2 linked regions of the Lepisosteus oculatus genome follow. The protein of the gene in region 1 purifies or fractionates together with the protein of each later gene. This does not show direct contact. Links are inferred from orthologs where the notes say so. Each region holds a gene or a part of one and is shown on either strand. Other genes may lie near its edges.

Region 1 (7,543 bases):
TGCACACACACACTGGTACAGCACCGCATCACACCTCACTGCACACACACACTGCTACAGCACCGCATCACACCTCACTGCACACACACACAGTGCTACAGCACCGCATCACACCTCACTGCACACACACACAGTGCTACAGCACTGTATCACACCTCACTGCACACACACACTGCTACAGCACCGCATCACACCTCACTGCACACACACGCTGCTACAGCACCGCATCACACCTCACTGCACACACACACAGTGCTACAGCACTGTATCACACCTCACTGCACACACACACTGCTACAGCACCGCATCACACCTCACTGCACACACACACAGTGCTACAGCACCACATCACACCTCACTGCACACACACTGCTACAGCACTGTATCACACCTCACTGCACACACACACACTGCTACAGCACCGCATCACACCTCACTGCACACACACACACTGCTACAGCACCGCATCACACCTCACTGCACACACACACTCCGCTATGACCCCTCCTTCCTTCTCACTGTCTCTGTCTCTTACCACTCCAGTTCTTGGCCATCTTGAACATGTTGGCAGCGCGTGCGTACATCTCGCATGCCTCCTCAACCTTCGATGAGCCCCTGGACACCCAGCCAGGAACAGAGGGAGGGACACAGGCAAGGTCAGAGCCTACTACTTTACGTAGATGTAAAAACAAATGTTTTAGAGCAAGTTCCTTCCCGTCATCAGTCTGATTCCCTAACGCATTAACACTGCATAGTTCTGACAAACAAAACTGAGCCAACAGGGATCTAAAGTACCCAGGTAACATCTTTCCAAATGCTGCTGCAGTTAGTGAATTATATTTTACTGAAGGAAATTATCTGAATTTGTTCCCGTCCAGTGGATCAACGGACAGGTGGAAACACAAGCAGAGCCACTCTGTGGGCGGAGACTGAGGAAAGACGTTCTTCCCTGCTGGGGAGAGCGAGAGGTGGCTTAGTTCCCAAGCTAAAGGGGAACTGAAATATACGATTTTAGATTTCGGGGTTAGGAAAAAAACAGCATTGATGGGTGCATTTCAAACCACAATAACAGTCAAACGTGCACAGTAACTTGTCAAGCCTCCAAGTTACATCACATAGTTGCTGAAATTCCCAGGTGTGTTCTGTGATTGAGAAAGAGGCAACAAAACTACCGGTGACGTGTTGTGGCCCTATTACATCACAAAACAAGCCGGCTTTTAATCCACTGTGTTTTTCACATTGCAGAAACACACCTGAAGGAAGGCACACATTTCTACAGTGGTCTCTTTTTTTTTCTCCTTTCAACACGGAATAAACCTTAACCTGTTCCTTTGTAAATAAATCTCTTTTAATCCAGCAGAAATGTTGCTTCAGGTTTTGAAACGTTTTACAGACAAATACCACTTACTTGTTTACTCTTGCATACAGATCATTTCTGTGGTGAAATGTCTGCTGCACAATCGGTTCCTATCGGTTCACTAGTCAGTATGGAGACTAGTGAGCAGGAAGGGTCGCATCGCGTCGCAACTCGGATGTTTGAGTTCGCGACAACATGGTGACTTACAGTACTTGTGCTTAATTCAGATTTGTCTTTTTTTTTCCTATATGGTCAATGAATCATTTTGTTACCAAGTTGTAATAACCGGTCTGAGAAACTGGGACTGCAGTTTCCCTTTAAGATACGCACCTCTACCTCTGAATAAACTTCACCCAGATGCTGATTCTCCAGAAGCACAAGAGGGGGTGTTGCCTGCCTGCCTGCCTGCACACACCTGCATGTTTCCCTCCTCTTCTGCAATTTCCCTCACGGGATCAATAAAGTATCTATCTATCTTATTGTCACAGTACGAAATTCACACACAGAGCTGCCCCCTAACACACACTCACTGTCCTGCTGGGCTCCATTTCTGCTACAACACAGCATCTCAGCTTAGATGCCTCGATAAGATTCTCTATCGTCTACTGTAATTATTCATTATCAGTACAACAACAGGATTGTTCAGTAGAACAGTCCTGTTACAATAGGAGCTACAGTCCCAGTACAGTGAAATAGTCCTCTTACAATAGGAGCTACAGTCCCAGTACAGTAGAACAGTCCTGTTACAGTAGGAGCTACAGTCCCAGTACTGTAGAACAGTCCTGTTACAATAGGGGCTACAGTCCCAGTACAGTAGAACAGTCCTGTTACAGTAGGAGCTACAGTCCCAGTACAGTAGAACAGTCCTGTTACAATAGGGGCTACAGTCCCAGTACAGTGGGACAGCCCTTTTACAACTGGTCCCTACACGACAGTTCAGGTAGAGGACACTCTGAATGTTCTGTGTTGCGGTGGAAGACAGACCAGTGCTCCTCACTGGGTCAGACCATGCGGACCCGGTGTCAGAGTACTTTGTTTACAGTCTGGTGTCGTGTGATCAGCTGACTCGACGACACATGTGACCGCGGAGCTCGTAACCGCAGCTCCCAGACCTGCGTCCCTCCCCGAACTCGGCAGAACAATCGACCCAGGAAGGAACAGGCTGGCAAATCGATGATCAAGCAACTTTTCAGCCCGTAGCTCAACGGTGCTGTACAACTTTTCTAAAAAAAAAAAGTTAAAAATGTATTTATCGATGGTGTCCTTTTATTTCGCATGGAGGTCGATATCGTTATGCCACATGACCAGGAGCGTTCCCAAGCATACATGACAGCCTTTTACGGCCAGGCCTCTGCTTCTGTACCGTCAGCCGCACGCCCTCGGATTTTCCTAACGAGCTTAGACCGTCTACGAGCTCTCCTTCCCCGGCAGCCAAACCGATCGCGACCCCGCTCCGCCGCCACCTGCCACTCACCCAAACAACGTCCCGAAGAAAGACTGCGACGATTTGATTTTTCTTTCGGCCTCTGCCATGAGGGCCAGTGCTTCCTTTTCTTTCCCGGAATTGTCCATGATTGCGTCCGCGCTGACAGTGCGCTTTGCTTCGGTTACACTGCGGCGCCTGTGGGCTTCGCTCCGGTCTGCGCCTGACGCCTGACACATCTCGCTGAAGCCGCGGGCCGGCGCCCGTGTCACGTGGGAGGGGCGCAGCAAAGGCACGCGCCGGGCCCGCCTGCCAGAGACCGTGAAGCACAACACTGCAGCGCTGTCGACGTGTAATAATAATAATTGCTTACACTTATATAGCGCTTTTCTGGACACTCCACTCAAAGCGCTTTACAGGTAATGGGGACTCCCCTCCACCACCACCAATCTGCAGCATCCACCTGGATGATGCGACGGCAGCCATAGTGCGCCAGAACGCTCACCACACACCAGGTATCCGTGGGGAGGAGAGCAGAGAAATGAAGAGGGGGATTGTTAGGAGGCCATGATTGATAAAGGCCGATGGTAAATTTGGCCAGGACGCCGGGGTTACACCCCTACTCTTTTCAAGAAGTGCCCTGGGATTTTTAATGACCACAGAGAGTCAGGACCTCGGTTTTACGTCTCATCCAAAGGACGGCACCTGTTTACAGTATAGTGTCCCCGTCACTATACTGGGGCATTAAGACCCACCTGGACCGCAGAGTGAGCGCCCCCTACTGGTCCCACTAACGCCTCTTCCAGCAGCAACCTTAGTGTTTCCCAGGAGTCTCTCCCCTCCAGGTACTGACCAGGCTCACACCTGCTGGGCTCCAGTGGGTTGCCAGTTGTGAGTTGCAGGGTGATATGGCTACTGGCTGCTGGCTGCTGTGTAGTGGTGACCGTGCCACTGGCAAGCTTTCGACAATCTCCACGATATGCCATCATCTCAGTAGAGTGAAAGCAAGAGTATTGTAGAAGTATGATACAAAGGGAGCAAGCCATAGGTTTATTCCAGGCTGGAAAGAGAAGAAAGACGACATTTCGGCTGTGGAGCCTTCTTCGGGTGAAACATTTTCCCTCTTCTCTCTTCAGCTTGGAATAAACCTATTACTTGTTCCTTTTGAGCCTAGGCATGCTGACGCCACCTCCCCACCTGAACTACTTCTGTACAACAGAAAAGTGCATGTACACACTAATAGTCCAAAATTAGTGGACTAATTCTGCAGTGTTGACAGGTGTCTGCAAACAGGTGTATGGGAGACCGATTGCATGGCTTGACGTGTTGTTTCCTACATTGTGTATGTGTGTGTGTCAAATGTGTGTTCCTGGGAATGTTACCGCAACAGGTCCCTAAGAGGACAGCACAGAGAGTCAGTTTCCATCCCCCGTCTCGAACACCTTCAGGTGGGTAACAGGACCAGCCCTCCAGCCTCGAGCTCAGGATTCCTATACCGGACAGCGCTTCCGTGCGGCCGGAAGCCGTTACTATGGTAACCAGTCCGATCCCAGTGAATCTTCGATCTCGTGTTTTTTAGAAACGAACAACCAGCAGGCACTAGGGAAGCTTTAAAAAATGTTTTTTCAATGATTTTTTTTAAATTACAATTCAAAATCCCGTCAAATGCCCTTAATAAAAGACAAGGACGCCCGTTAACCCGTTCAGTTTTTATTTAGTAACGTATTCAACAAACCTTGAAGCGAAGTTCCACAGCTCGACAGAATGAGAAAAATCAGACAGTTCAAACTGGCCAAATTTAGACAAAGGAATTACAGTAGTTACAGCCAAACAACGCTTTAAGGGAAATTTCGACAGGAATGCCTTTGAGCACTGCAGCGAGGTCCACCGTCGGGTGGAGGCTGGTGTCTGGTACCCGCAGATACCGGTTTAACAACCGGTCTGGTCTCTCGCCGCTGTGCGCAGCTCGGACGCGCAATCGTGCGTTTCGGCACCGCGGGGCTGCTCCAGCCTTCCGGCGAGAGGACGAGAATTTCGTCCCCCGGTTTTTTGATTTTCAAAGTGTGAAATCCGCATACGCTTCCCGCTGCGCATGGGGGACGGTCCCTAAACCGTGCGTCCCCTTTCGCCCTCCGTTTTCCGGGCGGTGCGGCACTTTGCAGCATGACCCTGGATATGAAAGAATCATTTCCCGTCGGAAGGTGGGCCGCGGGCTGGGGTTCGGCTATGTGTGACTTCCGAACGAGCTTCTGCGCCCGCCTTCCGTTTCATTCCCCGGTAACCGTGGTGCCCCGAGCCGGCGGCAGGATCCCCTAGCGACCGGGTGAGTGTTGCGGGCTGTCCAGTCCGGCGCAGGCCGGCGGCGCGCCGGGTGTCGACGTTACCTGACCGCTGGTCTAAGTAAACTGTTACTCGAGTCATGTGTCATTGCAGAGGGGGGGTAGCGACGGCTTAAGTCGCGACTTACACAGCCCGGGAAACGCAGGACTCGACCTGAGCGTTTACACACACACACACACAAACAACAACAACAACAACAACAACAAACACGGGCCACGAATCCGCGAAATCTCAGCCCGCGTCAGTGCGGTGACGTTGGCACCCACTGCCCGCTGGCCAGTCTGTCCCACTGCGGCTACACGACCCGGATTCATCACTCCGTCAAGCCCGTTCCTGGTTGCTCTGTGTCCTGGGCATATCCGTGGCCTCGTTTTTCAGCCTTTGTAGTCACTGCGTGTCGCCTATTTTGTAGCGCTCTTCATGGGCAGGCTTGTTGGTCTCCTTCGTTGTCAGCTGCTTGCTGGCGCTCCAGCTGACACGGGTGCGAGAGGCGCTGCAGTGCGCTGTACCACCGCTAGAGGGCAGCAGTACAGAACAGGGGCTTGGGGCTCTGGACTCCGGAGGGCGGTGGGTCCAGCTCCCGGGTGTGACGAGTTACTCGGCTCGTCTGGCTCCAGTCAATGACTTTCAGTGTCAAAGATATTTTCCAGGTGGGTCACAGCGTGTTGGTTTACCTGCTGCTGGAGAGTGTACAGCAGTATTCACGATAGGCTCCGATTGATATTTCTTCCGGAAGAGTGTTTTGGGAGTAAATAGTGGTAAAAGCAGGGTGAGGTGTCAAATACAGTGAAATCATGTAGAAGCACTGTAAAGAGTAGTAGTAGTGGTGTATGGTAAAACCGTGGTACAAGTAAAGTGTTATGAAGCAGGGAAGTCATGGTAAAAGCACAGTGAAGTGTAATGAAGCACTGAAATCATGGTAAGAGAACTCTCGAGCACAGTGAAATCACGGTGCAAGAAGAGTAAAGCCAGTGTCAAATCCTGAGCCAGGCAGGGGTGTGGAAAGTGTTATGGGAGCAGCACAGGAGGGAATTGTGTGATAACGGGGGGCCCTTCCAGGTGAGGGTGGGGGTTACCCCACACTTGCAGTGCATTGTGGCCCTGCTGATGTGGCAGGGGGGAAGCGAACAGGTGTAACGTGATCACGTTCATCAGATAAGACAAGCTGCCCAGCCTGTTCTTTATCGAACAGCGAGAATCTCGAACTTCAAGAATCCCCACGTCGCCAGCCGACCGTCTTGTGTCTCCTCAGCCTCCAGGAGCCCTCTCCCCCTGCTCCCCATGGAGTTTCCGGGCTATTCCCTGCCCTCGGGCCTGGGGCCGCCCCTGAAGCGGCGCGGAGAGAGGGGCGCGGGGGGGCCTCTGGGGCGGCCGCTGTACTGCGCCTCGGTGGACCGCCGCAAGTCCAAGGTGTGGAACTACTACACGCAGCTGAGCGAGAGCCACGTGGAGTGCAACGTCTGCAAGAAGCAGCTGTCCTTCCACAACAGCACCACCACCATGAGGGAGCACCTGGTCCGCAAGCACAGCATCCGCGACAACGGCCCCGCCCCCGCCCCCGCCCCCCCCGCCGCCGCCGCCGCCGGCAACCACTCCCTCCCCGCCCTCCTGGCCCCGCCCCCGCCCGCCCCCTTCCTGCCCGGCCCGGGCGGGGCTGGGGGGGGGGCGGCGGCGCTGGTGGTGGTCAAGGAGGAAACGCAGGAGGCGGAGGTCTCGCCTGAGGGGGGGGAGAGCAAGAGGGCGCGGCTGGGGGGCTCCGCCGCCGGCGGTGGGGGGGCCGGGGCGGGCGGGGGGATCCCGGCCGGCGCCCCGGAGCCGGAGCCCCCCAGCCACTCGCTGCTGTCCGGGCTCTTCTACCCGGAGGCCGGCGGTGGCGGGGGGGGCGCGCGGGGCTGCAGCAGCAAGCGGGCGGGGCTGCTGACGGACCTGATCCTGGAGATGGTGTTCCGGGACCTGCAGCCGCTGTCCCTGGTGGAGGAGCGCGGCTTCCGGCTGCTGCTGGGCTGCCTGGAGCCGCAGTACCCGGCGCCCTCGCCCTCGCAGCTGGGCAGCCTGCTGTGGCACCGCTACCACGCCCTCAAGCAGCACCTGGAGCAGCACCTGAGCGCCAGCCTGCCCCCCCGCGGCCTGACGCTGTGCGCCGAGCGCTGGAGGTCGCTGGGCGCGGGCGGGGGCGGCGGCCGCCTCTACCTGACCGTCAGCGCGCACTTCGTGGACCGGGACTGGCGCCTGGCCCGCTGCGTGCTGGAGACCCGGCCGGTGCCCGAGCTCGCGGAGGGCGCGCCGGAGGCCCAGCTGGGGGCGGCGCTGCGGTCCGTGCTCTCCGAGTTCCGCCTGCCGGAGAGCGCCGTCTCCTCCGTCGTGCACGACCGCTGCTGGGCGCCCGAGGAGCAGGAGGGGCGCCAGGACCGGGAGGCCCTGCC
Region 2 (7,211 bases), on another chromosome or scaffold:
AAGCATTTTAATTTTAATACTCTAGACTGTGCTTGTGTTCAGATTCATTTCTATGCTAAAAATGTTTATTAATAACACAGAAATTGGTTTTAGTGACGGCTTCTACTAAAATCAAAGTAAAGCAATGCTTTTGTTGGAACTGGTGTAAGAAAAAAGGATAATTCCACAGTGCACACCTGATTGGCCTCAGAAAGTTTCACTGGACTCTTTTTTTTACAAGCTGGCGGCATGAGCTGTCTGAAGATGTAATTGGGGGGGTTTGCTTGAGGTCAATGGCTGTCAAATGCCATCGTCATCAGAAATTTCTGTCTGGTACTTGGGCACTGTAACTTGTCAGTTAATGAAAGCTACTTTTATATTCAACACAGGAGAAAACACAGAAATTGTAAGGCTTAGGTGCTGAAGCTGCGAAAGTGGAGATGGAATCACAGAGTTATGCAATACAGAGCAGGGTTTATAATGCAGCATTAACAAAGGAAATGAGAAAACCACACAGCAAATAACAGGCTTTTTATGCTAAACATTAATGCCACTTTTTAAGTTTAGGTACAGTTCCAAGGGACTTCAAATAAATGGTTTTGTAAGAAATATTACGTACAAATTACTACATAAGTCTAGACAGGACATTATTTCTTTATTTACGTTGGCAAATGCAGAATTTGGTTTTAGTCAAATAGTAATTTTAAATATGTATGTTTGGACATATGTAAAAATAAGTAAACGTGTGAACACGTAAATATTTATGTAGATTAGTAACCTGTTATCCACTTCCTGCAATAAACAGAAAGAGTAATTAAAACAGAGGCTATATATTGTAAAAGGATATATGTGATTTCCTTTCTATTGCTACTAGAAAGGTAGACAGATGTTTAACTGCTCCTGAAGCACCAAACCGGATTTGGTCTGAAATGGAGCACAACATTTTTAGTAATAATTGACTTAGTTAACTATCTAAAAGTAAATGATCATTAGAAAACATCTGTAAAGACTATAATAAAAATGACAATGAAGAAAGTCACACATTATGAATTACTTGAATGAAAACAGCCAGATTATTCCAAAGTAAACCTTTGCTATGAGCTTGTAAAATAATTTGTCTTGTGGTTAAACAGTAATCTTTTATTTAGTTTTTCAACAATACCATTTGTTATTTCTCAATAACAGAAAATAATGTTGAAAAAGAGACACTTTCAAGTGAAAGCAGACCAGCAGGATTAACAGTCGGGCAATTTATTTTTTCCTTCATTCTTGGTGTGTCTCTTCACTCAGCTATTAAACCTGTAGTTGTGAATTCCATATTCAGTATGAAAAATAAAGTTTAGTTGAACAGCCTTTAGATTCAGAAGCTTTGAATGATAAACTGAATGTAATGAACTGTTTATCAACACACAGTTAAATTAAAATAACTGACTTGTCACTCTTTTGTTGTTCGTGTTGCCGTCAGGTATTGGGTGTGACTGGAGCAGATATTAGAAACACTTAAGATTAAGTCAATTTCAAGGCATGATTATTTTCTACCAATTGCTCTCAAGAAAATAATAGATGTTATTCCTCGACTGTTGGCAAAACTTTTCCCACAGTCATTTAGGAGAGGATTAATACCCACTGACCGGAAAATGGATAATGTTGCACACATCCATAAAAATAGTGATTATCAGAACCTACTATTTATAATCCAATAGGTCTTATTACAGGTGATCTTATGGAAATGATATTAGAACTTACCTGGCAGATCATATCTGTAGAACAGTAGGGTTTTATAATATAGCAAACAATGATATAGAAAAGGTATGTCTTGCTAAACGATTTTGCTATAACAACAGTAATATATACAGAGAAAATGACATGGTTTATGCAATGTTTTTGGATTAAGAAAATTACTGCAGTATCACAAGGGCCTTTATTATGACCACTTCTCATCCTAATGCACTTTCTGTGGGGGAGCAGAGTGCATTTAAAAGTGAAAACAGGACGTACTTTTCACACAAAGATTTGTGGGAATTTGGTACATATTATCCAGTCATGTTGTAAAAGCAGATACCCTGGGTTCTAGAAACAGATGGATCCACAATTGATCAATTAATTATCTATCATCTAAATAACACAGATGAGCAGAACGGCCTTGTCTTGTCTGTAGCCTTTGTTTTGTTCTTACAAAATTTTGTGTCACGTTTGACTACATTTTGTCTAACCATGTATTGTATAGCTTTGCAAACGATAAATTAAGGAAAATATTAATAGGACAATAGGGTAATGAAAGTAAGTGAACAACTAAAGATAACTTTGTGTGTGTGTGGAATTTATTAATGGCAGATTAATGTATTCCTTCAGTAAAAATGAAAAACATCATTAATAGTTTCTAACATACCATTTGAATATGCATGTTTAAATCAGATTATAGTGTATATATTTATATTAAATATAATATAAATATAAATATATTAAAGGTGGGTAGCTGCGTCAGCATGCGTAGGCTGCAAAGGAACAAGTAATAGGTTTATTCCATGCTGAAAAAAAGAAGAAAGAGAACACAACGTTTCGGCCGTGGAGCCTTCTTCAGGTGTGAAGAAGGCTCCATGGCCGAAACGTTGTGTTCTCTTTCTTCTTTTTTTCAGCATGGAATAAACCTATTACTTGTTCCTAAATATATTAAAGCAGTATTGTTTAACTACACTGTCTACAGAGCTGCATAGAGGTCATAGCATCATAACAGAATGATACACAGACTCCAGAGGTGATTATGTTGTATTCATGAAGAATGAAGGGGGAGAATGTCCCTAATACAAGTTCATGGAGTTTTATATATTCTCTTTACCTGTCCACCTCTCATTACACCACTGCAATTCATAAAACACTTAAGATTAAGAACTTGTTTGTACATGGTATTTTGCCATGCCCTGAAGGCTTGCAACTATTCTTGGCTTTGACCAAAAAATGTTATTAAATGCAAAAGCCATACACCAAATAAAATGTAAAATCAATAAGTTTAAGGTAAGTAGCAACAATCACTCCTTGCTGACAGAACTCTTAGTTTAAATGATTTCTCCATGTTAACTGGTTAGTTGTCAAATATATTTTCTGAACTGACTATATTATTAGTTAGCTTCAGTACCATAACAAATATATTAGTTTACTATACAGTTTAATACAAATAAATTAGAATGTTGGTGATTTGTAAAGCTTGTTTTTATACAAAAGCAATGAACTATTACATTTCTCTTACTATCTACATATTCATTTCAGGATGTCAATGGTCTTTTTATGCAAAAAGGTGTCATTTTTGTGTGTGGTTCACGCAGTTTACCATTACCTTTGTGATCCAAGCTAGCAAATATTTGAGTTCTGCTTCACAAGCCTTTGTGAATCATGCTATGGGCATTTCCTTTGTCAAGTAACATTTTATTGTAGTGCATAACTATGTGCAAGCAAACCTTACGACTATGTTTTCCCATGTAAAACCTAGTATTAGAATAGGCAGACTACCTATTTTCCAAAGTTATTTATGACACATAACCACTTCACATTGTAAATTAAGGAGGGCAAGCATTTCAAAGCAAACTGGACAATGAATCCCTCTCATAAAATCTAGAAGTCTGACTAATGCTGATATTCTTGGCCTTCCCTGTGGTGTGTCAATAGCAGATGCTGACAGCTTCAACATTCTCTGCTTTGCTTACCGATTGAAGTTGTGACACTCTTGTGACTGCAGTCAGTCGTTCTTATAAGGAAGCTACATTTCTATACATACATCAAAATCCAAAAATGTTTTTTTCTTGTATGAGCACTGCTCTTATTATATGATGTATGTAAAACATGTTGTGATTAAATTAAGTTCATCCAATACACAATACATTCTGCATATGTATAAAAATGTCTTCAAATATTTTCATTTCAGAGTAAACGTATATATTACAATCTTCTCATAATTTTATGAGACTTCACACTACATAATTGATTTAAAGAGTAAACTGTTAAACATTTATTTTGAATATGAACACTACGGACTGCATTACACACTCTTAAACCTCCTCAAGTGTGTTTTAATAAATAATTTTAAGTTAGTCTAAAATATGCTTAATGCTTTCAGACTCTATAATATCAAGAACAAAAAAAAAAGAATAATATGGACCAATCCTGCAATCGCCAAACGTTATGTGGAAGGGAGAAAGACCACGTGTATTGGTCTGTCGCAGAAATATGACGTTAAAGACGGTGACGTGTCTTTGTTGACAGCAGATACAGGGGGTTTGCTTTAATTTTCAACGTTTGTGAGAAAGGCATGGTTTAGAAATGGCTGTTGATATAACGTTATTGTTCAAAGCGAGCGTAAAGACTGTGAAAACCCGAAATAAAGCCATTGGGGTTGGATTCGACAGTACAAAAGATGACATCCTGAAGAAAACCAGACTTAAGAGTGACTTCTCCACAAAAGCTAAGGAAGTGGTGAGTGTAATTACAGTCCAGAAATAAGATTCTGGGAATACAAACATTTATAAACCGTCTGTTTTACAGAGAGTTTAGTTATGCAGATTACAGTTATTTTTTCATTGACCGAATATGTAAGGTGTTTTAAATCGGAATGTAGCACCTACACATTTTCTTCACAAAACTGTCGACTTTCTTAATAAATCTCAAATAAATACATTCTAAAAGTGCTATATCATAATGCAATAAGAAGTTACATAAATAAATTATCTCCATTTTCCATTAATTTTGGTGTCCAGAATTTCTACTCGCCTTAACTTCAGAAATGTATAAATGCAAAGTCTGTTTGTCATGTTGTCATCATATTGAGCCGACATGGCGTCAGTTTCAATAGCGATATGCTCAGGATGTTTTTTTTTAATGAAAGAAAGCGTGGGATTTTTATACTAGATGCACATGTCGAGGTTAAGATACACATCAAGGAAAATGTAACTATGAATATATAGTCTTTCTGAAACTGTTTCTTTACCTAATGTGAAACCGTCTGATGTATCATCAATCGTAACTGAAGTTGCTGGTACTTTACTCTGTGGTACTGCAGCAGTACTTACACATTGTAAACAGTGGAGGACTGCAAGTAGTGACGGACCCGGTAGATGGCATTCTTTGCTCTGGAACAGAAAAATACAGTGCAGTCTTAGTGTGGTGACAGAGGATGTGTAGTGTGAGGGTACACTTGAACTAAGGTACACTTTAAAATGGAGCCTGGCATGCAGATACCTATGGTCAAATACCAGTCATTTCTCAGAGGCTCAGGTGTTATTAAACCTTAATAATTACCTTCAGTATTTTATTCTATAAAAATTGAATTTTCATATTTGACTTGCTGATAGCATTCTACTGCATCCTTTGCTGGAATATGACCTTTTTCTGTTACAAAAGATTCCTGGTTCATAAAGACCTTCTCACCACACTACATTTACCCGAAATGTATCTGAACATCTAATGTCACAAAAGCAGAAAAGAAATAATTTGACTGTGCAGACTCTTATTTAGCATTATGAAGATTTAGCCAACAACTTAATTTGATTGTTTTTTTTTAATAATACAAATATGACGTAAACCTTAAAGTGGTGGTAAATTATAAATGAGCAGTGTTACTGATCAGAGGCCCAGGTAGTTTCTGTCATGATGCATGAGGCATAATATGAGTCGAATCATGTTAAGAATCTGTCCTTTTATTCCAGAATCATGTTTAATAGGATTAGGTTATTTTTTTTCTCTCATTTGAGAATTTACCATTCACTTATTCTGCGTTACTCTTTTCCCCATAGACATTTACTGAAGGGCATTTAACATGTTTATTTTATCCTATTTGGTTCGTTTAAAAGTTAAGTAAATGCTTTTACTTTTTTTTTTTTACAATTCTGGATGTAGTCCTTGTTAATTTTAAAAGATACTATTTGAACTATGAAATAACCAAATATCCTTATCAAAGCTTTATTCGTTCAGTCCTTGTTTGTCAAAAAGAGGAAATTGTAAATTCTTCTGTTCTTCACCATTGCATACCACCCAAGTGAAATTTCATTTAGAGTAAAGTTAAAGACAAGTGGGGTTCTTTTGTTGTGTGAAGTCGTATTTCCCCAAGAGAAAAAAAAAACCTTTTTCTTTTCCTTTTAGTGCCATATTCCTGCACTGTCAAGTTATAGTGACTTCACCTTGATGCAACATCTGAGTGTAATTTATTTTTTTATTGGAACCGTATTTTCTGTGCCTAAAACCTTTGACAGAAAGAGCCTCTTGAGCTCTCTAACTGTTCAATGGGACAATTGTACAAGGAGTATTCAATTGTTGTATAGTTGCACTGTTAAAACATCAGCTTTAGCAGATACGACCAGTTAGAGAATGCCTAAGACATTGGAATTGTGAAGAGCCAAAATCTAAAGAGATCTTTAACGGAAGAGAAATGGAAAATTGCAGGAAGATCCAACATCAATAAACTACACAATAGAAAGCCACTGGTAACATAGAATTCATGATTTAACATTCAATCAATGAATAAAAGAGATGAAAACACATTAATTAAATGCCATCAAGAGCAGGGCATTGCCGTGTTGCATTCTGAATGTGAAATGCCTAGAAATCCTATGCAAGGAGGTTGATTCAGCTGCTGGTATCTGTCTCCCTTGTAAAATTGAAATTGTTTAATCGTCAGTTCTTAGTGTTTTGCCCATGTAGCATATCAATCAATGTTTATTCTAGCAATTTCTAGACGTCAGCTGACATTCTGTACGGTAAATTTGGCCTTATTCATTAAGTGCTTCTTTCTTCCATCTGTGTTCTGTTGAAGCATTTCAGTCTTCAAAACAGCTGAACCGGTGGCACCAATGTTTTTAGAATAGTGGAAATCTACATAAAGTTTATGAAACCTTGTATGCATTTCAGTATGAACATTAGGTTATAGGCAAAGTTTAAAAATAAATATTTAAGAAAATAATTGTAATGTAAACCAAAGATTTTATTGCCGTGAATCACAATTTCTCCCTTCTCTTTAACAGTTAAAAAGTTCTTAGATTTTTTTATTTTGCCTCTCTAAATATTTCAAAATGTATAGTTATGAAAACAAAGGACATTAATGTGTTTTTATCTTCATCTTGAATAATACAAAACATGAGGTACTGAATAAATATTTTCATACCTGTTTCTTAAAGAATGCAGACTGTTTGAAATCGGCTGTAAAATACTATATATAGTGGTTTCAATATAGTATTAAAAAATCATATTTT

The links. Proteins that work in one complex are often made in the same cells at the same time.
Region 2: the proteins of alpha-soluble NSF attachment protein (region 1) and stx18 purify together in Homo sapiens (affinity purification with mass spectrometry; 4 studies listed by BioGRID and IntAct, with this or other methods). This does not show direct contact. The link is inferred for Lepisosteus oculatus from reciprocal best matches to the Homo sapiens genes NAPA and STX18.

The regions. Positions count from the first base shown.
Region 1 is NC_090698.1:6,291,055-6,298,597, forward strand, and holds the start of alpha-soluble NSF attachment protein, read right to left. Parts: upstream 3,038-7,543; 5' UTR 3,020-3,037; coding exon 2,832-3,019; intron 616-2,831; coding exon 536-615; intron 1-535. Other genes in the region: zbed4l2 (E3 SUMO-protein ligase ZBED1), read left to right, coding at 6,402-7,543. UniProt on the Homo sapiens protein: Required for vesicular transport between the endoplasmic reticulum and the Golgi apparatus. Together with GNA12 promotes CDH5 localization to plasma membrane.
Region 2 is NC_090696.1:43,625,208-43,632,418, forward strand, and holds the start of stx18 (syntaxin-18), read left to right. Parts: upstream 1-4,198; 5' UTR 4,199-4,290; coding exon 4,291-4,443; intron 4,444-7,211. UniProt on the Homo sapiens protein: Syntaxin that may be involved in targeting and fusion of Golgi-derived retrograde transport vesicles with the ER.